5 linked regions of the Cricetulus griseus genome follow. The protein of the gene in region 3 interacts with the protein of the main gene of each other region in a pairwise test. Links are inferred from orthologs where the notes say so. Each region holds a gene or a part of one and is shown on either strand. Other genes may lie near its edges.

Region 1 (5,081 bases), on a different chromosome or scaffold from region 3:
GTAGTAGCTGTTACAGCTGTGGTCTTCAGCTGACCCTCACATCTCACCAATCCACTTTTAGAGAACCAGAAAGATCACTCGGGGTAAAGGGCATTGCCTCTAGGCCTGACAACCTGAGTTTCATCAGGAATCCACGTGGGTAGAAGGAAAGAACCAACTTTTTCAAGTTGTCCTCTGGCCCCCACACAAGCCCACATCCCCATACACAATAAATAAATACATAAATAAATGTAATAAAATGTTTAAAATGAAGGACATGCACTATGACCACACTTGCTAAGAAAATGCAAACTAATCTAAAGCTGGCGGAAAGCAGACTGGTGGCAGCCTGGCGATGGAGTCACGGTGGTAACAGGGAAGGGATGACAAACAGGAGCCTCATAACCGTATACATGTTATCTGTGAGATCACAGAGCCCCTTGATGGCTCATTCATGTTCTCTCCTTCTCTCCCTCCCTCCCCTCCCTCTGTTAGACTATAACCCTCTGCAACTCTCTCTTTCTGAGACCAGGGTTGATAAGAAAGCACATTGTTCATCCCCTGGAGCTGCAGAATAGGCATGGTCCCACCTGATGCCTGCTACCGTGCCCTTTGTTACAGTGACAGGGCCAAGATAGATCATGTGCTATGAAGCTTACACACACACACACACACACACACACACACACACACACACACACCTCCAAAACCTATCAGAGTCAGAAAACCTCTTTGTTCGCAGGATTTGAAGGGCTAGCACTCTCTCCCCCTCCAAGGCCTCACCATGCTGCTGTTAAGACACTATGTCTAGTCTCAGGCTCTCACAAAGTCCTATGTGATGGAGAATGTCCTTCTCTGTATATGTTTATCTTACTGGCTGTTGAATAGAGTGCTGTTGGCTAATGAAGAAGCAGGTTAGGTGGGACTAGGAGCCAAGGAGGATTCTGTGAAATGTAGTAAAAGGAAGTCTTGTGATACAGGCAGGAAGTGACTTAGCAGGCAGACTCATATATAAGCAAAGGCAAGAAGAAAGTCATCCCCTTTTTCTCTTCCTCCTGCTCTCTGCTCTGGAGCTGCCATGTGATCCTGGCAAGAGAAGACACCAGCAGCTGGTATCCCATAAGATAAGTCTTATAAAATATATAGATTTATGATAATTAAGACTGAGCTAGCAGATGAGAAACCCTAGTCATTGGCCAAGCAGCATTTGTACCTAATATAAGTCTCTGTGTGTTACTTGGGACCTCAACGTGGCGGCAGGCAGAACTTCAGCCAGGCAGAAAGCGCCCACGTGGCAACAGTACTCGGGTGGCTTGGTGGAAAGACTTATTGTTACACCTTTGCTGCCCCTCCCCGTGTTGTGAGGCTCTCTCTCCTGATAAAGGTCTTCTAAGGGGTAATCTCGTGTCAGATCCTTCCCAGGAACTGCCATTTTTCTCTTTTCAGCTCTAACAGCATCAAAAAGTGTCTAGTTGCATATTTTAAACATCTACAATTTTAAATATGTGCTAAATACACCTCAGTAAAGCTCCTTGAAAATGCACAATAAATATCTCATGTCAGTGCAGACATTTATTAGACACAGAGTAAAACACAATACAGTCTGCAGTCACCAAGAGACTAAAGCACTCATGCTATCAATTCCTGGGATACGCACCTCTGATTCTTGACTTTTTAGTTCGCCTTCGATCTCCAACTTGGGTGTTGAAATCTGCTCTGTTTTGTTCTTGCTGGACGTGATCTCCATGTTAATTACTGGATTCTCTCTATAAATGATTTTACAATCACATTGCAAACAACATTATTCCACAGCTGTTGGAAAGTGTGTGACCAATGGCTTCAGATCTGAGCACTTCCTGTTCTGTCATTGAAAGAACACCCCTCACACACCTGCCAACTTGATTCTATGAAGACATTCACTTTCATGCAGTAAGCCTGTTGCCTCCTGGTTTTCTGACAATTGTTTAAAACTAACTGTGTAGGTGAGAGGTGTCACATTCAAAGTAGAGTCCCCTGGTCTCAAATCCAAACAAAATGTAGCCAGAGGGAGTGCTGCCATGCACAATTGACATGAGCTACCACAAGAAATTCCACAAAGCCATAACTTGCCCCAAAGAGTGACACCTGCCCAGCAAGAGATCAACTTGGATTGGCCCCACCCACCCTTCCTGCTGGTTCCTAAATGCCACTGTTATTTATTAAATCTGAGGCCAAAAAATGATCGATTCACAGCAATTTCCATTGTCCTCTTTTCAACTCTAAATGTTTCTATCCCATGTCCTTGGAACGCACTGTTGGTTTCCCATAAGGTGTGTACACTTTGCACTTACTCCCAAATAAATTCTATTATTCATTCTCCCCTCCCACACTGATCAGAGCTTTTAGGTTTTGTTTTTTATTTTTTCGTTATTCTTTTCAAATGCTTATCAGCAAGGGGTACTTGCACGATAATTTTAATAGGAGAGAAGATATAAGATGCAAAAAGCCTGATACCTCCTCCTCTCACTCCAACCTAACACCCCGGCACTAGCCTCTTGAGTTTTTTTGTTAGTTTGTGATCCTACAAACCCATTCAACTTTCAAGAGCCTGCAGAGAGGCCTTGTGGGTAAAAACTTCAATAAGGTATGCCAACAGCCATCAGGTCTACAGCCTAGCTCAATCTTACCCTGTAGGTGCTACTCAATGGTTTGTTGTTGGCTGATTGGAGCAGATATCACCTGGTGGGGTTGGGGTGTTTTAAGACAGATTTCAAAAAAGGCTTCTGGTTCCAAAGCCCCAGTCCTCATAGAATGAATCTTACCCGCGAGGCAAGCTTCTGGAGTGTTTTAACCCGCAGTCTTTCTTGAACCGCTTTGGCAGGAGTTGGACCAACAGAGCTTGAGATCCCGCTGACTCTAATTCAGGAGGGAAGGGGTGTGATTTAATACACAACTGCCTTCTGTGCGGGAAGAAGTGAACCCCATGAGAGATCAACTCAAGCCTAAAGTGGGCTGGGTGTTCCGGTTTAGAATGATGTCCGAAGCCAGGTGTGGTAGTGAATGTCTCTAATCCCAACACTCTGCAGGCAGAGGTAGGCACATCTCTGAGTTCCAGGCCAGCCTGACCAAAATACAGAGTTCCAGGCCAGCCAGGGCTGCATAGCAAGAAGGACCCCCGTCTCCAAAACATACAGTAAATAAATAAGGATTAGAACTGTGCCCCCTTCCTTCTTTGCCCTCCATAAATTTTGGAGGCGGGGTAGGGGTGGTGGGGGAGGTTAGACGCAAGCAACTGCCAAGTCTTTTTTGACAGGCGGCTACTCACTGGGACAAGAACCACCCAGAAAGGCTTCGAGGGAGAGGCCCCATTCCCGGGGCAGACCTGCGTGGGACACGGTTGACTTTCCAGTGGCAGGCTGGGTGTCACTTGACGGGGTACAGCTGGTCTTCGCGGTGAACTTGCGGCGCGGCCATGGGACCCTGGAGAGGCGGATCCCGTACTCCCCGCCGGCGGCCGGACTCAGGCCCATCCCGCTGTGGCCAGCGGAGACAACGCACCTGGAGTGCTCGCAGATGACCGCGGAGCTCCAGGATCATGGGCGCCGGGTCCGGCGGGGATGGAACCGGGATAGAGCCTCCAGGGGGCGTGCGGCAAACGGCGGCGAGGGCGCGCGGAGCGGGACTCCCGCGTGGAACCGGGGCACGCGCGGGGGTGGGTGCAGACGCTGCCCCTGTGCAGTAAGCTCATCCATGGACACTGGCGGGAAGGAAAGCGCCACAGCCCCTCAGAGGAAAGGCGGGCGCGCCACGCGATAGCCAAGTGTCAGAGGGAGCATCTGAGGCCGCTGGAGAAGTCCACAGTTACTGACTAACCAGCCACACCGAGGGCTCTGAGACCCGATTGGGAAGCCCCACTGGGAAGCCCGCTTCAGTTTCGCTACACAGTGAGATTCAGGCAAGCCTGAACTAGAGTGAGACACAAAAGCTAGATATGGGAGTTAGGGTGATGGCTAGGATTAAGAGCACCTATTGCTCCTTCAGAGGATCCGAGGTCGGTTCCCAGCACCCACGAGGTGGCTCAAAACTGCCTATAACTCCAGTTCCAGGAGTTCTGACACCTTCTTCTGACCTCCGGCCAGCACCAAGCATGCACATGGTACATAGATGTGTAAGCACAAACATACATACACACCAAATAAACCTTTTAAAAATTAAAGCTAAATAGTGCCAGGCGTTGGTGGCACACGCCTTTAATCCCAGGAGGCAGAGGCAGGCAGATATCTGCTAGTTCGAGGCCAGCCTGGTCCACAGAGTGTGCTCAAGGACAGCCAGTTACACACAGAGAAGCCCTGTCTCGTAAAACAAAAAAATAAAGCTAAATAAATATATAATGTAATAAACAAAGGTGGAACCTCAGAGCTATAACACAAGCTCTACCTATGTCCCTTGCTTTGTGTCTCTCATTCCCTCTTAAGTTTTGTGTCTAAGGAGTCCTTGTTTTTTGTTTGTTTGTTTGTTTGTTTTGTTTTGTTTTCCCCATGAGACCTTGCTCTTGAACTCCGGGGCTCAAACGATCCCTTTTTTCAGCCTCAGCTAAGACTACATACAGTGACACTACCCACCTGGTCTTTCCCTCTACAAAATCATGTGTTTGATGTGCTTTGATCAAATTCGTCATTCAACTATCCTCACTATCACCTCACCTCAATTTCCATATCCTTCACAGCCCCCCCTTCTCATTCATTTCCTTACTGTTACTGTTCCCAGTCCACACATGAGAGCATGCATGACACTTGTCTTTCTGAGTCTGGCTTATTTTGCTTGACATGATCACCAGTTTCTTCCATTTTTCTTCAAACAATGAAAAGTCAGCCTCTGTGGTGGAATATAAAACTATTCTTCATCCATTCATCCATTGATTTCCCCTGACCCTTTAACTGGTTGTTGTTGTGTTTTTTTTTTTTTCCAAATCTTTTTTAATCCCAAATACCTTGTTTTCATGCTTGAAGCTTTATTTTTAGAATGCTGTCTGGCCTGGATACCTGTGTTCTCTCGAAATTCATATACTGAACTCCAAGGTCCTAGGTAAATGGACTAGGTAAAAGGCTTTGAGAACTTGGACC
Region 2 (5,054 bases), on a different chromosome or scaffold from region 3:
AGTGAACACATTATGTGTTAATTATGTGAATGTAGGCTAGCTTAGCACTGGTAAACTCTAAGGTAGGACTAAATAAAGTCTTTGTTGCTGTACTGATACATTCTCAAGTCAAATCCAGCATTATTATTGTTGTTATTTTGGATATAGGGTTTTACTATAATAAGCCTAGGACGACCTTAAATTCAATATATAAACCAGGTAGGCCCTGAATCTGTGGTAGTCCCCCTGCCTCAGTTTCCCAAGTGCTGGGATTCTAAGTATGTACATACTACACCTTTAAAAGACACTGAAAACTCTAGATGGGACAGGGTAAGAGAGGAGGTAGAACAAAGCTTCTTACTCATTATATACTTTCCAGGCATTACACCCATGCTGTGACATCAGTTCCAGATTCTCAATTCGCACTGCTTGATGCTCTAACTGGGCCATGGAATTGTTTACACACTCTTGCCATGCAGTAATGTCATTTTTCTGACCCGAGGAAGGGGCTGGAAGTTCATATCTGAAATTATACAACAAATAAATAAACCAACATATCTTGCCAAGCCTCCATCACTCCTTCCAATAGAATCCCCATGGATATATGCCTGATACACACACAAAGAAATAAATTACCACCCCTCCCCCTGCCCCAAAATGACTGTGGCAGTAAAAGAAACCAATTACCCTGGAAACTAATTTACAAATAAAACACAACTGTATGCTGTAACAAAAAAAAAAAAAATTTTCATAAATGTGAACTAGTTAACCTGTAAAAGTCACAGAGACTCTGATGTCTCTCATCCCTGTTGAGATGAGACCCCTCTTGGGTAAAGTCTGCCTTACCATCTTTTTGAAAGTTGCTTAAATGTATTATATTTGCTAACATTTTTGTTTAAAGAAAAAAGGCCGTGATCATGTTTATAACTGGCAGCACTGTATCTTCTAATCTCACTGCTCACGGCCTCCACACAGCTGGCAATGCTCTTCCCAACCTCAGCCACCGCTGTCGAGTTCCCCCCAAGCCTAACCTCACTCACCGCTTCATGCTGAGTAATTCAATTGGTTGTCGAGCAGCTAGCCTCTCAAATTCGTTTCTCATTATGTCAGTCTGATGAAGAAACAACACAAAGAATTAGTACCAGGATCAGGTTGAAAATAATGTTTACTGAGATCTTATACTTTGTACTACATTATAATGGATCTTTTTGCTTCTCTCAATTACCAACCCCATCTCCCTTTTTAAAGGATATTAATATTTGACCCAGGTCTCACACATGTTCTCCCACTATGCTACACTTTCACCATCCCCCAGTTTGGGTCTGGGCTTAATTTTATCTAGGGTCTTGAAGAAATAGACACCCACTTTAATTCTATAGTCTGCCCAGGCACAAAAGGAGGCAAACATAAAAGAACCTGTGTGTTAAGGATTAACCCTCAATCAGCAGTTTTCAATGCACTGCAATCAGTTGTGGAGCTGTGAAGACAACTTTTACCCAGCCACACATTACATTGTATTTCACAACATATGAGAGCCTTGAATCTGAGCCAAATGTTTCAGGCAGTCTCTAGTGCTGTGTAGTGTGACACAGTGTAAATCCCACATACTCCAGTTTAAAACCTCGACTTCAATAAAGTCACAAGATGAAACATTGGATTTGAGACTTGATTTCTGAACTAATCACATGGAGTTATAAAAACCCCGGGAGGGGTTACAACACAGTTGTAACCTGGGTTCTAAATGAGGAAGGTATCACAACAACTAACCCCACACAGGGAGCAGTTTCTCTGCCTGAAAAACCTCTCTCAACCATCTAATTAATGTATGACAGTCACCCAGTTGCTATCACATCTGTGTAGCCCTGGCTGTGCTAGAACTTGTTTTGTAGATCAGGCTGGCCTTGAACTCACAGAGATCTACCTATCTCTGCTTCCCGAGTTCTGGGATTAAAGGTGTGGGCCACAGCCAACCAGCAACATCATTAATTTTCTATTTGGCATTTATCAAAAATATCCGAGACTTTTTAATTTATCTGCCCATCTCAAAACTAGAATCTAAGTATTATGAGGATACGAACTGTGCCTATTCTGTTCTGTAATACATTGCATATTCTGTTCAGTTTGCATAGACAGTACATAAGCACTTTCTGAATAGGAGTCCAGTAGTCTAGGAAGCAACAAGAATTCATACATGCAACTGCAACAAATTAAAAAGCTTTTCCGATAGGGGGTGGCAGCGCACGCTTTGATCCCAGCACCTAGAGGCAGACGGATCTCTGTGAGTTCGAGGCCAGCCTGATCTACTTGAGGCTCTGTCTAAACTCACACACACACAATCCTGCATCAAGAGCTGGACATGGTGACTTACACTTGTAATTCCAACACTCACAAGCCTGAAGCAGGAAGATTATCCCAAGTTCAAAGCTGACCTGTCTTAGTGAGTTATAGGCTAGCATGAGTTCCAGCCTTAAAAACCTTAATTGGCAGAAGAATAAAAATGAACAGTTATGTAATTCATAGGACCATTTTCTGAGCTAGGAAAAATAGTTCAATACACCATTAACAACTACTAAGAAAGTATTAAATTAACCAGAACACTAATTATAAAGGCAGGAACCGCGCTGCATTTTAAAAGGTTAGAAAAAATGTATTAAAGCATTTAAAAGTTTGCAAATGAACACCTGATTAGGACCTAAATGGTATTTTGGTTGCACTTGTAGGATAACAATTTTAAATGGTATGCAGTTAGGCATGTTTGTTCAGGCATTCATATATCCGCTAACTATCTGAGTTTTGTTACAAAAATCTCCCTTCAGTGGTTGCAAAGAGTACAGGTAGTTAAGATTATAAATATTAAAATCCCGTGATTACTACCTGTTTTTGACTGGACCTTAGAGAATAAAGGATAAGGGGTCCTTTAGGGAAGTTTACTAGGGACTCTTAAAAATAAAAGACCCAAATATTTTATTAAACAAGTCTGCAGAACCAATAAAGTATTTCTTGTAATACGAACCCTGAGGAAAGCTCATCTGGCTATTTTGAACCAACTGATCTTGACATGCAACATGAGCAGCAAGCAGCAGTTGCTTCCAGAGCTAAAGCCCTCAATCCGAAATCTAAGCCGGCAAGAATCCTGGTCAGGATGCGGGACTCAGGACACCGCACTTACTTCAAAGGCAGAATAATCCGGGGCTGTCAGGTAGCTCAGGTAGTTCTTGGTAGGTCGGTATCTGCGAGTTTCCTCCTCCACCAGGGCCGCAGCCTAAGAAAGAGAACAAACCGGGGTCAAGGCGAGAAAGGGAACCATGCCTCGGGTGACCCCCACCCCCGCACGCGCCCCATACTCACCGCTTCCCGCACGCCGGGAGCCTCGTAGCCTTGGTCAAAGTACGGCAACGCATCCACCACCACCTCCCCGGCTACCAAACCCGTGCCTGCCATTGCGCGGCACTCTGCTCCACCAACGCCGTCAGTCTGCGCCGGCTCGCTGCTATGCCACTGCGCCTGCGCGCGGGATGACGTCACACACAGCGCCGCCTCTCGGATTCGGGCCGTGTGCAGAGCGGCTGATTCTGTAGCCGCTAGGTCTTAAGGACTGTTTTGTTTGAGGCCTTGCGCACTGACGTCCCGGTAGACCTGGGATTATGCCTGTCTTTCCTCCATGGCTACGAGGACGATTTTATTCGAGTTTAAGAGAAAAACAACAGGGCAGACCGGAGGCAAGACATGCCCTTTGAGTTAGACATAGATGCTAGCAATGCAGTGAGACTAGCATAGTAGGAGGGAGAGGGGTTTAAAAGACTGAGAATTGGGGCGTGGGAACTTTTCAAGAGGTGGTTGCTGGACTTCACTGGAGGGGAGAAATATACTTCCCACGCCCTTTAAAGAAGCTGGGGGTAGGCGTTGGTGGCGCACGCCTTTAATCCTAGCACTCGGTTGGCAGAAGCAGGCGGATCTTTGAGAGTTCGAAGCCAGCCTGGTCTACCGAGCCAATTCCAGAATAGGCTCTAAAACAATACTGAGAAACCCTGTCTCGAAAAAACAAAAAACAAAAAGAAGCTGGGGGTAAGCCGGGCAGTGGTTGCACACTCCTTTAATCCCAGCACTTGGGAGGCAGAGGCAGGAGATCTCTGTGAGTTAGAGACCAACCTGGTCTACAAGCTCGAGTTCCAGGACAGCTCAGTGGTAAAGCCCCATCTCAATCTTCAGCGCTACAAATGAACACCTCATCCTTCCAAGGACTGGAATTCTGTCTACAGGATGCTTTGCTTAAAAAGCTTTGCCATGTTTTTGTCTCTGGGGCCTACATAAAACCCAATCATTTTGCCTTTAGGATTTGTGGTAATAGTGATCCTCCTAGGCTCCCTTCCCCTCAGGCTGTAACTAGTATACATTCTCTGTTAAGTATACCCCAAAACTAAGAGGTAAATGCAAAAAAGATTGTTGGACCTATGTGTCCTGCCTAATGGGCATTCAACCAAGGCTTATCTGTTAGAAAAGTTGGTCTCAGCTATAAGCCTGGTTATTCTAAGATTGATATGGGTATTTATGATTTTACATTATGTAAATGTGCTGCCTATAGGTTTAAGTAAAGTGAAAGAGCTTCACAACTTGTGGTTTGATGAGAACTGCCTCTCCTAGACCTACATATTTGAACACTCCCAGTTGGTGGCGCTCTTGTGGTTTAGGAGGTGCAGCCTGGCTGGAGGAAGTAAGTGACTGGAGTTTAAAGCCTCACAGTGTGTTTGCGCTCTGCTTCCAAGTTGCTGTTTGAAGATGAGAGCCCTCAGCTCCCGACTCTGGTCTCCGTGCCTTTGGCTTGGTGCCATGCTTCCTCACCATGATGGACTCTGACCCCCTGGAACTGTAAGCCAAATAAAGTTGCTTATTTTTATCACTGCAACAGAAAAGTAACCAATACACATCTCAAGTGGATTTATTTTAAATTCTCCAAGAGATCAGTGGGATTTTAAAATGCCTTTATTCATTAAAATATCTGTAAACATTTGCTAGAAATCTCGAACAATCCTTTTTTACAAACATATCCAGAATTCACAATATTTTACAAAAACAAA
Region 3 (4,509 bases):
GACTTTCTCATCAACTGAGAGTCTGCGACAACTTTCTCAACAACTCAATGGTCTTGTGTCTGAGGTACCGCAGGATTGGGGTCCAGAAAGAAGGTAGAGGGGAAGAAAGCATGGTAGAAGCTGAGGCCAGGATTCTCAGGAGACTGGCTCATGAGAGGATCCTGTCAGACTCAGAGAAGACAGATTTGGATCCTGATGGGTGATGTGATTTTATCCTGGTGTGGAAAGTGGGAGATGACAGCTGTCGAGGGGCAGAGGCTGGGCCATGGCGGGATTAGAATATGAGGAGTGGCACAAAGATGGTGTGAGAGGAAAGGCTCAAGGTAGACAGGAAAGCAGGTTCTGCTGGTTGAGGGGGAAGGAAGGAGGCTGGGGGGTTAGACGTTGAGTGTGACAGAGCATCTCCATGTGAGATAATTGTCTCTCCTAGTCTACATCCTACATCAACGGGGAGGGCCTCACATCTTCTAACATGAAGGAACTGGAGGTAAGTGGCCTTGGAACATGGTTTAGTGACCCTTTAATCCAACCACCTATCTCCTCTTACAGTGGGACCTGAGTGCCTGCTGCCAGCTGAGACAGCCCACCACCCCAACCCTAATGATGCTCTTTCTACCTTTCCCCCATCCCTCCTCCAACTCCTCCTCTCTGCATGCGCCTCAGAGCCGGTACCAAGAGCTAGCAGTAGCCCTGGACTCCAGCTATGTAACAAACAAACAACTCAGTAGCACGATAGAGGAATTGGTAAGAGTCCAGTGGGGTCCCCAATTCTTGCTGCCAGTCCTGGGCTTCAGTTTCCCCTTGGGGCTCTGAAGAGAGAGACTGGGGGCTCCTGGGACCTAGGGGCAATGGGAAACCTGGGGGCCTCAGTCTCAGCTGGAGGCAGCCAGAGCATAGAGCATGCAGCATGGCTCTTCTCGTTGCTCTCCACCTCTTTTCTGTACTCCAGACTCCTAGCCTGAGTCCTCACCCCACTTGTCCTGAGCTTGGTGCCTCCAGTGGAAGAGATCACAAACCCGATTGGTTGTCAGGAGCCCCATGTCCTGCCCTGGCTTAGGTCCTGATTTGCTCTTTGATTTTGGTTACACCATTCCCTGGGTTTGAGTTTCCTGTTGAGGCAGAGTTGGAGAGTGTCAGAGACCTCTTTCCACTCTTAAGTAGCAAGAGTTTAAAGGCTTACTGAATTGTCAGAACCAAGTGCTCTCCCATTCCTCTCTTGGCTATGCAAGATACAGTCAGTTCTTAATTCAGCACACTGTTCCAAGTCCCCAAGTTGGCAGAAGGTAGTCTTCTTTCTCAAACTCGTTTCTAGTGTTACTGTCCTTTAACTTGGACCCAGATTTAAACCTCTGTTGTATAGTTGTGAATGAGAGGCAGCCAAGACACAGACTGTAGTTTGTTGGGAGCTTGGGAAGTTTGTTGGTTCATGTGCCCATGGGGGTCTGAGCACCTTTTTCAAATCCATCCCCCTGCTCTGTCTTGGTATGGGGTAGCATAAAAGGGGCTAGCCCCAGTCACCTTCCTTTGACTCTTCCCACAGAAACAACAGAACCAAGACACTCTGGATCAACTGGAAAAAGTACTGTGGTTTCTGTGTTTGCTCTTTTCATGGCTGATGGGGTTGTGGGAGGCCTCAGAGTTGCAGATTTTGGTCTTGCTTGATTCTATCCTGGAGAAGACTCACCCCACAGGGTGTCCTCCATAGGATCCTTGATAACCTGTCCTGGGCCACTGGTGGCTTTCTGGGGCTCGTCCATTGCTGGGATTCTGCTTCCCTGCTAAGAACTGCATTTCCCATGCCTGCAGGAGAAGAGGGATTATCAGCAGAAGCTGGCAAAGGAGCAGGGAGCTCTCAGGGAACAACTGCAGGTGAGTGGCCTGTGTGATATCCCTATGTCCCCCAGAGAGCATCTCTCCTTCCTCTCAGCACTTTTGGGGGCTTTTCTTCCAAAGGTTCACATTCAGACCATAGGCATCCTGGTGTCTGAGAAGGCAGAATTACAGACAGCCCTGGCTCACACACAGCAAGCAGCCAGGCAGAAAGCAGGTAGGATCAGAGCATTCTTCAGCCTTGTGCTGACGCCTTGGCAGGCCTGAGGGAGGGTCCCTGGGGCTCCATGTAGACGGCTCTCATTTCAGGAGAGTCAGAGGATCTTGCCAGCCGCCTGCAGTCTTCCCGACAGCGTGTGGGAGAGCTAGAGCGGACGCTGTCTACTGTGTCAACGCAACAGAAACAGGCGGACAAGGTAGGACAAGTTGCCTGTCTGGCCATCAGCAGCTTCCTGGTAGACAGTGAGCTTACAGGACTTTTCTGCATGGTCTAGTGCCTTGCTGCTGACAATTTAGCATGAGCTGTTTGTTGCTGCTTTTGTTGTGAGGTTGGAAGAAGCAAACTGGGGAAGAGTCCACAGCTGGGTAACTGAGGGCTGCACAAGTGAGCTCTGGATGCAAAACCTAGAAGCAGGCTATGACCTCAGCTGGCTGTAACCTTGGCCAAGTGCTGATAGAGGGGATATAGCCCCTGGGCTGTGGAAGTACAGAAGAGCTTATCACTGTGCCACTGTGGGTAGGGTAGTGTGTGTACAATACATGTAGAGTATGTTTGAGATGACTGACAAACTCGGAGCTGGGAACAGGATGACAATCGGGAGGCATTTTGCTTCTATACCCTCTGAGTTTTGGATTGTGTGAATAGACCATCTGTTCAGAAGAGAGCACAAGATCCAAATAGAAATTAACTTTCTTCCTCTTAATTGCAACTCTGGGGGAAAGGGCCTAGAGATTTAGATACCCCAAAATGCTCAAGTTCCATCTCTGCTAAGTGACTTCAAGCCAGCACTTTTGTACACTGTGTTTCTGCCCAGTGGGGGTGACAGCAACTGTTGTCAATGGGTGTGAAGATTGGATAGGTTAGCAGTGAAGTGCTCAGTGCTGTAAATGCCTCAGCCTCCACGTGCTAAGATCAGTCTAAACCACCATGTCCTGGTCCCAGTCTTTTTTCCTGCCTGCTTTGTGCTTATGGAGTTCTTTGTTTGTTTGTTTCTTTTTTTTTTATTTTTCAAGACAGGTTTTTCTGTGTCACCCTGGCTTTCCTGGAACACTCTCTCTGAGATCTGCCTGCCTCTGCCTCCTGAGTACTGGGATTAAAGGTGTGCACCACCACCACCACCACCATCACTTGGTACAGTTCTTTTATTTATATTGTTAAGGTTTATTTACTTTTTAAAAAAAAAAAAAGATTTATTTATTATGTATACAGTATTCTGCCTACTCACCAGCAGAGGGCACCAGATCTCATAGATGGTTATGAGCCACCATGTGGTTGTTGGGAATTGAACTCAGGACCTCTGAAAGAGCAGCCAGTGCTCTTAATCTCTTTTATTTTGTGTGTGTGTGTTGCTTGACTTCATGTATATGCACCTCAAGCATCACTGGCGCCTGCAGAGGGCACTTGGATCCCCTGGAACTGGATTCACCATGTTGGTGCTGGAAACCAAACCCAGGTCTTCTGGAAGAACACCTGGCCCTTTTACTGAGTTTTTCCTTTTTTGTTGTTGTTTTGTAGTCCTGAATAGCTTGGAACTCAGAGAGATCTGCCTACCTCTGCCTCCCAAGTGCTGGAATTAAAGGGTTGTCCCACCACAGCCTGGTTCAGGAGTTCTTATTAAACAAAACAAAAGGAGTGTGTGTTGGGGGGTTGGGTGTTTTCGAAGCACTCAGGAGGCAGCCTGGTCTACATAGTGAGTTCCACCACAACCAGGGCTATATAGAGAGGATCCTGTCTCAAAAAATAAAAAATTTAAATAATTCTTTTTTAATAAAGAGTGAGCCAGATGGAGTGACACATCCCTGTAATTCTAGCACTTGAAAGAGAAAGGCCAGCCCCGTCTGCCTGAGACTGTCTCATAAAACCAAAATAATTGCTGGGAAGGTGACACATAGCTGTGATCTCAGCATGGGGAGGCCGAGACAGGAGGGTTCAAGGCTAGCTTGGGCTATAGTATAGATTCTAGGCTTGCCTGGTTGCTTAGACCCTGCTTCAGGAGAAAAAATGAAAGAGAGCTAGTGTATGATTGGTCAGTGATAGAGTAACTGATTAGCCTATACAAGAACTTGAGTTTGGTTCCCAGCTTTGTAAAAAAAATATTATTAATTAAAAACAAAAACAGGGCTGGAGAGATGGCTTAGCAGTTCAGAGCACAGGCTGCTCTTCCAGAGGATTCAGGTTTGATTCCCAGTTACCCACATGGTGGCTCACAACTATCCATAATTTATGCTTGTGGTGATTAGACATATGTGTAGGCAAAACAACAATACACATATAATAAACAACATTTTAAAAATATTAAACAAAACCAAAAAACAAACACCAGACGGTGGTGGCGCACGCCTTTAATCCCAGCACTTGGGAAGCAGAGGCAGGCAGATCTCTGTGAGCTTGAGACCAGCCTGGTCTACAAGAGCTAGTTCGAGGACAGGCTCTGAAGTTACACAGAGAAACCCTATCTC
Region 4 (5,078 bases), on a different chromosome or scaffold from region 3:
TTTCTGGAGGCTGGAGTCTCCGTGTTTGCAGATCTCACCTGTTTAGCTACTAAGACTGCAAAAAAATGCAACTGAGCAAGAATACTTGAAGGGCCTGCTTGAGCTCATAGCTATTGTAAATGGTGGAATTTTACTTTATATTAAGGAGATTTGAAAGCAATTCCAGCTTAATAAAGAATGCCTGTTAAAATTCCCAAGGAGAGCAATTACTGCACTAAAGCTTTTCTCACTTTTTAGGCTAATGACTGTAAAGGGCTAATGAGACCCCACACTTATAACAATCCTCAGCTCAGATTACATTCAATAACTTGATAGAATATGTCATTTGAGATTTCTAGCTTTTTCTTCCAAAATCCATGATGCTGTATTAAAACTAAGCACTGAGCTTATATATCAGCTTCTAAAAACAACAGAAACAAGCTGGTGGTGCCATACTCCTTTAATCCCAGCGTTAGGGAGGGAGGAAGAGGCAGGTGAATCTTTGCTTTGATACCAGCCTGGATCACAGCTACACAAAGAAATCCTGCCCTGGAAAAAATCAAACCAAACCAAACTAAAACCATCAGAAACAAATCTTTCTACGTTGTTCATAAAATAAATACCACTGGCAATAATAGTCTCGAAAAGACTAGAAAATTGCCTACGTAAGTTACAATCTATTTATTTATTTATTTATTTATTTATTTATTTATTTATTGAGTCGGGATCTCACGATGTACCCTTGGCTGGCCTGGAAATCTCTATGTAGCCCAGGCTGGATTTGAGGCATCCAGATCTACCTGTGTCTGCCTCCCAAGTGTTGAAATTAAAGGCATGTGTCACCAAGTCCAGCCAGAATCTATATTTTAAAGTACATTTTTTTTCCTTCGTTTTTTCGAGACAGGGTTTCTCTGTGTAGCTTTGGAGCCTATCCTGGCACTCGCTCTGTAGACCAGGCTGGCCTCAAACTCCCGCCTGCCTCTGCCTCCTGAGTACTGGGATTAAAGGCGTGCGCCACTAACGCCCGGCTTAAAGTACATTTTAAAAGTGCACCATTATTATAGTTTCCATATAAGAATTTCCCAGGAAATTAACCAGGAGTTAATGCCCCTATACTCTGTTGGGGCACTCTGAAAGGATTGCTGGTCACATTCTGTGGTTCATTCTGTCTTATAAAGAACGGAATATTAGCAAAAGGACAATCTGCCTTCTACTGTGAAACACAGACTGGAACACAATTACACTATCTCATGGAGAGCGTTGTGCTCTTCATCACTATAGTTACAGCTTCTCTTGGGCCATTTCGCGTTTCAGAGAGAGCCTCTCCTCCTCCGCCATAGGGTTACTGGTTCCAGTCCCAACGGTTCTGGGGCGCAGCTGGACGCTCGCAGGAGGGAACCCTGGGCTTACACAAAAGGCAGGAGGTTGCCATCCGAGCCAGCCCATGCTGGGGAGGCCGCCGCGTGACGTCAGGGCCCGCGGGGCCAGTGTCCGCCAGCACCCTGGACCCCGAGTCACCGCCGCCGCCTTGCGGAGGTCACCACGGGGTGACAGGAGGAGGGGCAGCGCCGGCGACGCCCGCTCGCACCCAGCCGGTCGGCCGCAGAAAGATCTAGACGCCCCGGCCCAAGCCCCGCCCGTCCCCGCCCACCGCGTTGGAACCTGACGTTGTTTGGACGTTGCTAGGAGACGCGGCGAGCACCCGCGCGCGCGCGCGACCCCACCCCCCCAGAGCGGGCAGGCGCGAGGGGCGGAGCCGCGGGCGCGCCGGGGGCGAGGCTGGCGAGCACCGTTAGCGGGGCTGGCGCGCGCGCGTCGCCCGGCCGCGTCAGGCCTCGCCGCTGCCCGGGGGACGGACTCCCCGGCGGCTCACAGCGCGGAGGCGGGACGACGGGGGACCGTGGGCCAGGTGAGCCGCGCGGTCACGCCCCGGGGACAGCGCGGGGGAGGGGGGGCCGCTCGGCGTTCTGAGGGCGGGCGCGGCGGTCCCCGGCTGTGAGGCCGCGTTGCCGCGGGGACGCTGCAGGTGTGCACGGGAGAGGGCGGGGCGACCCGCGGCCGGGATGCGGTTCCCTCCCTCCCTCCCTCCCTCCCTCCGCGCCTCGATTCCCACTCCGGGCAACAGGTGGTGCCCGAGGGCCGGCTGCGAGCCCTGCGCGGCCGCCCTGGGAGCCGCAGGCGCCCTCGCCAATTAGGGCGCCGCGGAGGGCGTGGCGTGGCCGCCCCGACGCGCTGACCAATGGGATCGCGGGGCCGGGGTGGGCCGTGGGGGTGGGCGTGGCCACAGGCCGAGTCCCAGCTTCCCTGCGTCGCGGCCGCCAGAGCTGCGCCGAAGTCTCGGCCGGGAGGAGCTGCGGCGGCGCGATCCCCGCGAGGAGAGACGCCGGCCAGCCGGCCAATGTGTCCCCGTGGGGATCCGGACTTCAGCCCCGGAGGTGAGAGCTCTGGCTTGCCTCGGGGAGGGGGCCTGGAAAGTGATCCCGGGTACGCGGCGTGTTTCGCCGGCTTAGATCTCCCGGATAGGATTGCCTAGTTTCTAGTTTTCTGCCAAGAAAAGGCCCTTTGGGTGGATACGGTGACGGGCACCAGATAGATACTGGTGACTGCGTTGTCTTCAGAGGAGCTTCTGAGGTTCGGGGACCGTGGAGACTAGAGAGAAGTACACGCTACTCCAAAGCGGAGAGAAGAATGGAACAGAGCCTTTTGGTGATAATTGTTGATCGTTTGTTTTGGATTTCGTACATTTCTCATCTCATCTGGTGTGCTTACTTACAGCAAGTTTTATTAAGTCCCCTCTCGGTGCTTTATTTTTTAGAGAAAGTAGAGAGAACCCATTTTAATGTGTTCACAGTAATAACATAGTCGTTTCCTCCGCAGCAGTCTGGTAGCTCGATCCCCCTGGAAGAGAGACTGTAAGCAGACTAGAAGAACGCGTTCGGTTCGGGACACCGTTTGCAGCTGGAAATGGGGAATGGACTGTCAGACCAGACTTCCATCCTGTCCAGTCTGCCGTCCTTTCAGTCCCTTCATGTCGTGATTCTGGGTCTGGACTGCGCTGGGAAGACAACAGTTCTATACAGGCTGCAGTTCAATGAATTTGTAAATACGGTGCCTACCAAAGGATTTAACACGGAGAAAATTAAGGTAACCTTGGGCAATTCCAAAACAGTCACTTTTCACTTCTGGGATGTAGGTGGTCAAGAGAAATTAAGGCCACTGTGGAAGTCATATACCCGATGCACAGATGGCATTGTGTTTGTGGTGGACTCTGTCGATGTCGAGAGAATGGAAGAAGCCAAAACTGAACTTCATAAAATAACTAGGATATCAGAAAATCAAGGGGTCCCTGTGCTTATAGTCGCTAACAAGCAAGACCTGAGGAACTCACTGTCTCTTTCAGAAATTGAGAAATTGTTAGCCATGGGTGAACTGAGCTCATCAACTCCTTGGCATTTGCAGCCCACCTGTGCAATCATAGGAGATGGACTAAAGGAAGGACTTGAGAAACTACATGATATGATAATTAAAAGAAGAAAAATGTTGCGGCAACAGAAAAAGAAGAGATGAGTGGCAATCAATGCCTTTTTTATATCGGTGTGGAATAGTTTTCCCCGGGCTGATTTGATGAGTTGAAGAGTGTCTACAGCCTGGTTTGCCTGCCTGCCCTCCTGGATGCTATTAAAGCTTTGTTTTGTTGAACAGTCTGATGCCCAACTCTGTTGCCTTGGGGAAGATGAGTAACTGCAATGCTTCTTGAAGTGGCTTGAAGTGGTCTCTTCTCCCTGACCCACAGATCTTTTGGTACTACCATTTTGGGAAGCCAAAAAAGGATAGTCATTGAGCAGAAAGCAATTTTGTGGAAATATTTGACCTGAAGTTAGTGAAATAAAACTTTGAAGAGTGTATGCCTAGTGTTTTGTGCTTGTATCTTTTTGGGGGAAGCCTTTGCCAAGAAACTGCAAACAAGGCTTTGTAAACACAAAATGCTAATGAATGGAAATGTTACGGTAGATTATTTATTGTGTGTACACACAAACACACACAGTTAAATTGAGCACACTGGGATAAGGAAGCATTTTCTTTTTTGAGGTTTTGGCAAGATGATTTTTGAGCATTTTTCTGGAATCAGTTTTTAATGATACCTCTTTAATTCTAGACAGTGTTTAATTTAGTTGGTCTGGCATTAATAAAAACATTTGTGGTATATTCAAGTGCATGGATTAATTTTTTGGACAAGCATGTTTGGGTGTATAATCTTTAGAAATAGCTATGCATCTGTCTACACAGGTTTAAAACAACCTTTTTGGGGGCCTTAGAGCTATTGTAGAAATAGTTCATTGTTAGAAGAACTGTCACTTGAACCTAAAAATGACTCTCTAATATAGTAAATATGAATAAGTTGACTAAATACATATGCTTGAATACATGAATGGATTTTTGGAGAAGTGGATTCAATCAGAGATTGTAATACATAGTCTCTCAAATAATCTAGTTAAAAGATACTTGTTTTATTACTATTTGCTGGCTGGAAGCATTTTTTTTCATATATTTTTGTAGAATTTTGGGAGGGATGAGAGCTTTATAACCACCTGATGAGCTGTGGAATGGATATGTAAGATACCTTTTGATATGTGTTCTGAGCTTTCATTTTTTTGTTTATCAGCTGAACAGTATTTCCAGAGCTTTCTAACTCTGATCATAGGAAGAAATGGTATGGTACTGCAGCTAGGAATTAAGATCCCAGAAAATGAAGGGGAAAGTGGCAAAGCCATTTCACAACAGTTAATGGGCGCTGTTTCTGCTGTAATAAAAACAAAATGAAATTACAAGGAGGAGAGAACTTTAATTCTTATCTCCAGGAAGAGACTTATTTCCAGTAATCACATATTAGCAAATCTGCATATTTCCTATGCTTGAAGCCAACAGCTGTTTGCTCAGAAGTCACCAAAGGAAGTGCACTTTGATAGCAGGATTCATTTTGGTTTTGAGCTTTTAATTTTTTTTTTTTTCAGTGACAAGACTGAATTTTTAGAACCTTGATTCTTGTTACAAAATGAAGTAGCTCCATGTGGAACTGTCGTGTCAAATGTGCCTGCACT
Region 5 (4,938 bases), on a different chromosome or scaffold from region 3:
TCCCACTAGAGCGATTCATTTTACTTTTGTCTTTAAAATTTTATTTCTTTTTCCTTTTCTTTGTTTGCTCTCTTAGTCTTAGTTTAGGCTGTTGGCTACTGGGTAACTGTGAAGCACTGTGCAAAGGCTTGTTAGGACTCAGGAAGATATTCTGGTTGCCACTGGAATGCATCTTTACTCACCTCACCAGTTACAGGAAGTAGAGCCACACCCCGCTTTACAATGTGCTTCGAGATCAGAGATACCCACAAGAAGTGCAGCTTGTAAACCTTGGCTAAAAACCCAGAAAAGCCACACCCACACCAGAGGGCAACCAGAAAGTACAAGTGGTTTACGAATGTTCCTCCCAAGCCCATTAAAGAAAAAAAAGAAAAGCTATTTGTTCATTACTAAGATAAAATGAAATTGGAAGGAAAAAGGATGAATCTGGAAATTATTATAGTAAGTGGGGGGTAACCGTGAAGTATTAAGACAGATAACCCATTCACTCTTGAACGTGGATCTTAGCTTGTGTACGTAGTTAGATGCTTTTGAGTGTTGGTTATCAAACCAGAAAGGGGACTGGGGGCTAGTTAAAGAAATGGACTGACGAGGTAACAAGGTGCATTTGACAAGACAGTGCGTGTTATGATAATGTGTGGGGAACCTTGGCAGGCGAGGGACAAACATGCCAGGCAGGCAGAGTTTAAGTGAGATTAGAAAGGGAAAGGAGGGGGGGCGGAGGAAAGAGAAAAGAGACACAGAGGCAGAGAGAGAACAGAAGAGAAGAGGGAGACAGGAAAAGTCCTGTCTGCCCCAAGGGAGCAGCGGGAAAGAGAGCCTGAAAGAGAGCATAAGAGGGCGGGGTGGGGTGGGGGTGTGTCTCTCTCTTTTAAAGGGGGTCCTTTGCACCTGCGTGCAGACTTCGCAACCACGGACCCCTGGGCTGACCCGGGTACTGCCCGAGTGCATTCTGCCAGGTGACGGGGACAGGCAAGCATAATGCCTGAGTCCTTAAAGTGCGAGCAGGAATACGCGGGCAGAAGGGCTGGAGGCAGTAGATGGAGGAGGTCACACCCAAACAATACAGAATCCAGGTCATGAAATCCGGGGACTTCAGCCTCCATCGTGCTCGTGCAAGCAACCCTTACTAAACTCGGTGAGGGCCCCCGACCCACCCGCAACCCAGACACAAGGAAGACAGAAAAGGAGACAGAAAAGGAGAGAGGGTAACGAGGAGGAAGTGACTAAAATTCATCATACACGTGTATGAAAATCGTCCAAGAACTAAAAGGGAAAGAGCAAACCATATAAAAATCCTTTCCCAAACGAAAACAACGTGCTTGGGATCTCGGTGCAGCCGCTGCTGCGCGAACCTCTAGCTGTCCTCAGCGTGTCCGGCGGGACCCGCGGCTCCCCTGGCTTTCTTTTCCCTAGGGAGAAGGCGCGCCCGCCGTGACGTTCTTTGCCCGCGCCCCTGACGTCACTGCCCCGCGCCGGCGGCACGTTGGCCTGGCCGTGCAGCGGGCTGGGCCGACGGCAAAAATGTCTATGGCTAGTGATTTCTACCTGCGCTACTACGTAGGGCACAAGGGCAAGTTCGGGCACGAGTTTCTGGAGTTCGAGTTTCGGCCGGACGGTGAGCGGCGGAGGGGCCGCGAGGGAGGGCGAGCCCCCAGCGGGTGGGTTTCTATTTCTGTTCTTCCTTTCTGTGTTATTTCAGTTTTCCTGTTTGGTTTTGAGTCCGGGGTGTGTGTTGGGAGGGGGGGGGGTCTCGTTGTTTAGTCCAGGATGACTTCGAACTCCCGGTCCTCCAGCCGGGCTGGAAGGGCTTCTTTCCGACATAGATTAGAAAGCGCCCGAGCGTGCAGCGTAGCGGGCTTGGGTGTTTGTTTTTGTGAGAGCAAAATTGCTGTAAAGGTATCCAGAAAAGCGCACCCAGCTACCGCCAGCGAAGTTGAACACGGAAAAATCGGAAACCCAGAATGCAGAGCCTGTGCCTCGGCAGTGTTGACGGAATTACCGAGTGATACTTCAGCAGATACTTGAAGTCTTTGGGGGGCCTTTTGGCCTGCTCGCTCATTTACTCTGTGTTGAGGATGCTTTCTAGGGGAGGAAGCTCCCCTGTCTGAACAGGAGTGTGATGTGTGTTAGGCATTGAAATACCGTCTTTATCATGATACGTGGATGGATGGAGGTCAGAGGGAAGGCCCTAAATGAAAGCTTCCCAGAAGCGCCTTTCTCATTGCCTACTAGGTGTTCAGCCCTGTTAAAAAGAAGCTGACTATCTCCTCCCCAGCCACTGGCTGTCAGAGCAAGTAGACGGTGAACACAAGCTCTGTGCTTTCTGAGAGAGGCAAAGGCGGAGGAAGTAGCTGCTGTTGCTCTGGGTGGAGAGTGGAGGACTTGTGTGGTCCCACTCATTGGTGGGAACGACAGATAAGGTTTCCCACGAAATAAGGCTTCATGACCCCCTGCAGAGTGTGTCTGCTGTCCAGTAAGGAGCATACTTGCTGTAGATCAAGGAGAAACATTGTGGATGCCAATCTGATTGTCTTCAGATTGGTTATCATTAAAAAAAAAGGATAGTCCTGGACTGACAGCTAGCAGAGTCCTAAAGCTTTTCAATTTCTCTAAAGATGGTATCTACCAGTATTTTGTCAGAAAGCTCTTAAACAAAGAAGGTAAGAAGTCCGGGGCCAAAGCACCCAAGATTCTCAACTCCAACTTACTGCTCTGAAGAAACAACACACTAAGAAAAACGACAAAGCTGCAGGATATGCTACACTCTTGGCCTACAGAATGAAGGAAGCCAAAAACAACAACAACAACAACAACAACAACAACAAAAAACCAAACCAAACACCAAAAAAAACCCCAAAACCCAAAACAACCCCCAAACAAAAAAACACCAGGCATAGATTTCCAAGAGACATAGGCTGTCCTTGCTGAGAACTTCTACTTTTAAGTCTGAGTCCAGTAAAGAGTAACAAATAAATGATCAAACCTTGAGTTGAAAAAAGAAAACAAAAACAAACAAAAAAACCCCAAACCCAAAAGCTTCCCCTAAACCAGGTGTGGTGGCTCATGCTTCTAATCCCAGCACTTTTGGGAGGCAGAGGCAAGTGGAGCTCTGTGAGTTCCAGGCCAGCCTGGTCTATAGAATGAGTTCTGGGATGGCCAGGGCTATACAGAGAAAGTCCTTCTGTAAAAACAAAACAAAATACCAAAAATAAAATACAATAAGCCAAGCTAAAAAAAAAAAAAAAAAAAAAAAGTCCCAACCCCATAAAAGCTTCTCCTAGAAGATGAGACACTTGAGATCAAAAGGAAACACTTTCTTGTCTTCTGGGTGAAAGAAAAACCAGAGATGAGCAGAGTGAGCAGTGGTTTGTGGAAGCCCCTCCAGTGTAGTGTAAGGCAGTTCTGTCTGGACAGATCTGCTTTCCTGGGTTTTATTTTTGAATACATATTTAAGTGCCAAAGCTGAAGGTCGAACGTGAGACACAGACTTTTGTTTTTGATTTTGTTTTTTTTGAGACAGGGTTTCTCTGTGTATCTTTGTAGACCAGTCTGGTCTTGAAGTCACAGAGATCGCCTCCCCCTGCCTCCTGAGTGCTGGGATTAAAGACATGTGCCACCACCGCCCGGCTGAGACACAGGCGTTTAATCGTATGACTGTATAGATTTTAATTAAGTGCTGTGGACACGCTTCTTTGAAAAGGAAAGTAGGAGAGGATCATGTATATGAATCAAGCTTTGCAGAAGAAGTCAAGGTAACTGTGATCCTGTAGTTGTTTAGAAACTTAATAACTTTACCCTTTGTTCTCCAAAATTTGTTTGGAGCAAACTTACTTTGTTTTTTTGTGGTTGTGGTGGTGGTTTTGTATTTTTTAATTTGATTTGCTTTTTTTATTTCTTTTGTAGTTCTGTTCTTAGCCCCCTTGGCTGTGAGTGCCATGCAGCTTGTCCTTGTCACCCCGAGTCACACAAATAAGAGTAATACTTACCAGGGAAATGCTCTGTATGGATTGGTTCTCATGCACCTTTGCCACCCAATCATTCCACTTACATGAGAAATAGTGACTCACAGAATTTACAGTTCTTGCTGGGTACACCCCAGTATGGTGATCTGTCATTTTAGCAGATAAGAAAGCCATCACAGCTGTATCAGCCCATGGCTGACTAGCCATGCAGGGATGCACACTTTGGGAGCTTCGGAGGTCATGACAGATGGTTTGAAATAAATCAGCCAACAAACTGGCAGTTTACATGGTCTGCATGCTTCCAGTTATAATTTAAAGATTTTTTTCATTATCTTAATTATACACTAATTTGAAGGAAAACAATTAAGAGAATATTTTGGAATAGTAGAGAAAGGGTTGATACAAAGGAGACTTCTTGAGACTTGTGTGACTCTGAGCAAGTTGCTTAACTTGATTTTATGCCCTGTGAATAGGTGAGAAAGTGGAAGCTGCTGCTCGAATTCCTTTAGAGATCAGAAGAAATGCTGTGAGAGCTGCCTTAAGCATCAGCATGTCACACTTGAAGAGAATACTCAGTGCTTTGTCACAGTCACGTTTAGTTTAGGGGCTAGATTGAGAAAATAATCTTGTTTGTTGTGAACAACTTTAATCCCAGCAGTTAGGACACAGACTGAGGCAGGTGGATAGATCTCTGTGAGTTCAAGACCACCAACCTGACTACACAGTGAGATCTTGTCTCAGAAAGGGGAGGGGGGTGAGAACAGGCCTTAAGAAACCTGACCCATTCTAAATGGAAGCTGTGGAACATTTTTTTAATTATTAGTTTTTATTCTTTTATTAGTTCAAATTAGGAACAAGCTTGCTTCACGTGTCAATCCCTTCTCCCTCTCCCTCCCCTCCACCCAACATCCCAACTGCCCCTAGCCATCCCCCCTCCACTCCCCAGGCAGGGTAAGGCCCTCAAAAGGGGCTC

Evidence for each region. The genes of interacting proteins can lie anywhere in the genome.
Region 1: the proteins of Golga2 (region 3) and Plaat5 interact in binary tests that used the Homo sapiens proteins (3 or more experiments, as listed by UniProt). The two-hybrid records come from large-scale screens. The link is inferred for Cricetulus griseus from reciprocal best matches to the Homo sapiens genes GOLGA2 and PLAAT5.
Region 2: the proteins of Golga2 (region 3) and Bcas2 interact in binary tests that used the Homo sapiens proteins (3 or more experiments, as listed by UniProt). The two-hybrid records come from large-scale screens. The link is inferred for Cricetulus griseus from reciprocal best matches to the Homo sapiens genes GOLGA2 and BCAS2.
Region 4: the proteins of Golga2 (region 3) and Arl4a interact in binary tests that used the Homo sapiens proteins (3 or more experiments, as listed by UniProt). The two-hybrid records come from large-scale screens. The link is inferred for Cricetulus griseus from reciprocal best matches to the Homo sapiens genes GOLGA2 and ARL4A.
Region 5: the proteins of Golga2 (region 3) and Magohb interact in binary tests that used the Homo sapiens proteins (3 or more experiments, as listed by UniProt). The two-hybrid records come from large-scale screens. The link is inferred for Cricetulus griseus from reciprocal best matches to the Homo sapiens genes GOLGA2 and MAGOHB.

What each region holds. Positions count from the first base shown.
Region 1 is NC_048596.1:51,794,595-51,799,675, forward strand, and holds the start of Plaat5 (phospholipase A and acyltransferase 5), read right to left. Parts: upstream 3,489-5,081; coding exon 3,341-3,488; intron 2,875-3,340; coding exon 2,781-2,874; intron 1,746-2,780; coding exon 1,637-1,745; intron 1-1,636. UniProt on the Homo sapiens protein: Exhibits both phospholipase A1/2 and acyltransferase activities. Shows phospholipase A1 (PLA1) and A2 (PLA2) activity, catalyzing the calcium-independent release of fatty acids from the sn-1 or sn-2 position of glycerophospholipids.
Region 2 is NW_023276806.1:53,787,086-53,792,139, forward strand, and holds the start of Bcas2 (pre-mRNA-splicing factor SPF27), read right to left. Parts: upstream 3,489-5,054; 5' UTR 3,421-3,488; coding exon 3,328-3,420; intron 3,242-3,327; coding exon 3,149-3,241; intron 1,091-3,148; coding exon 1,020-1,090; intron 503-1,019; coding exon 341-502; intron 1-340. UniProt on the Homo sapiens protein: Required for pre-mRNA splicing as component of the activated spliceosome. Component of the PRP19-CDC5L complex that forms an integral part of the spliceosome and is required for activating pre-mRNA splicing.
Region 3 is NC_048599.1:144,031,605-144,036,113, forward strand, and holds part of Golga2 (golgin subfamily A member 2), read left to right. Parts: coding exon 1-64; intron 65-430; coding exon 431-487; intron 488-663; coding exon 664-744; intron 745-1,540; coding exon 1,541-1,579; intron 1,580-1,806; coding exon 1,807-1,869; intron 1,870-1,953; coding exon 1,954-2,047; intron 2,048-2,139; coding exon 2,140-2,246; intron 2,247-4,509. UniProt on the Homo sapiens protein: Peripheral membrane component of the cis-Golgi stack that acts as a membrane skeleton that maintains the structure of the Golgi apparatus, and as a vesicle thether that facilitates vesicle fusion to the Golgi membrane.
Region 4 is NC_048598.1:161,628,898-161,633,975, forward strand, and holds Arl4a (ADP-ribosylation factor-like protein 4A), read left to right. Parts: upstream 1-1,732; 5' UTR 1,733-1,888; intron 1,889-2,295; exon of another isoform or gene 2,296-2,414; intron 2,415-2,856; 5' UTR 2,857-2,943; coding exon 2,944-3,546; 3' UTR 3,547-3,890; downstream 3,891-5,078. UniProt on the Homo sapiens protein: Small GTP-binding protein which cycles between an inactive GDP-bound and an active GTP-bound form, and the rate of cycling is regulated by guanine nucleotide exchange factors (GEF) and GTPase-activating proteins (GAP).
Region 5 is NC_048601.1:16,032,227-16,037,164, forward strand, and holds the start of Magohb (protein mago nashi homolog 2), read left to right. Parts: upstream 1-1,450; 5' UTR 1,451-1,524; coding exon 1,525-1,618; exon of another isoform or gene 1,619-1,661; intron 1,662-3,547; exon of another isoform or gene 3,548-3,755; intron 3,756-4,938. UniProt on the Homo sapiens protein: Required for pre-mRNA splicing as component of the spliceosome. Plays a redundant role with MAGOH in the exon junction complex and in the nonsense-mediated decay (NMD) pathway.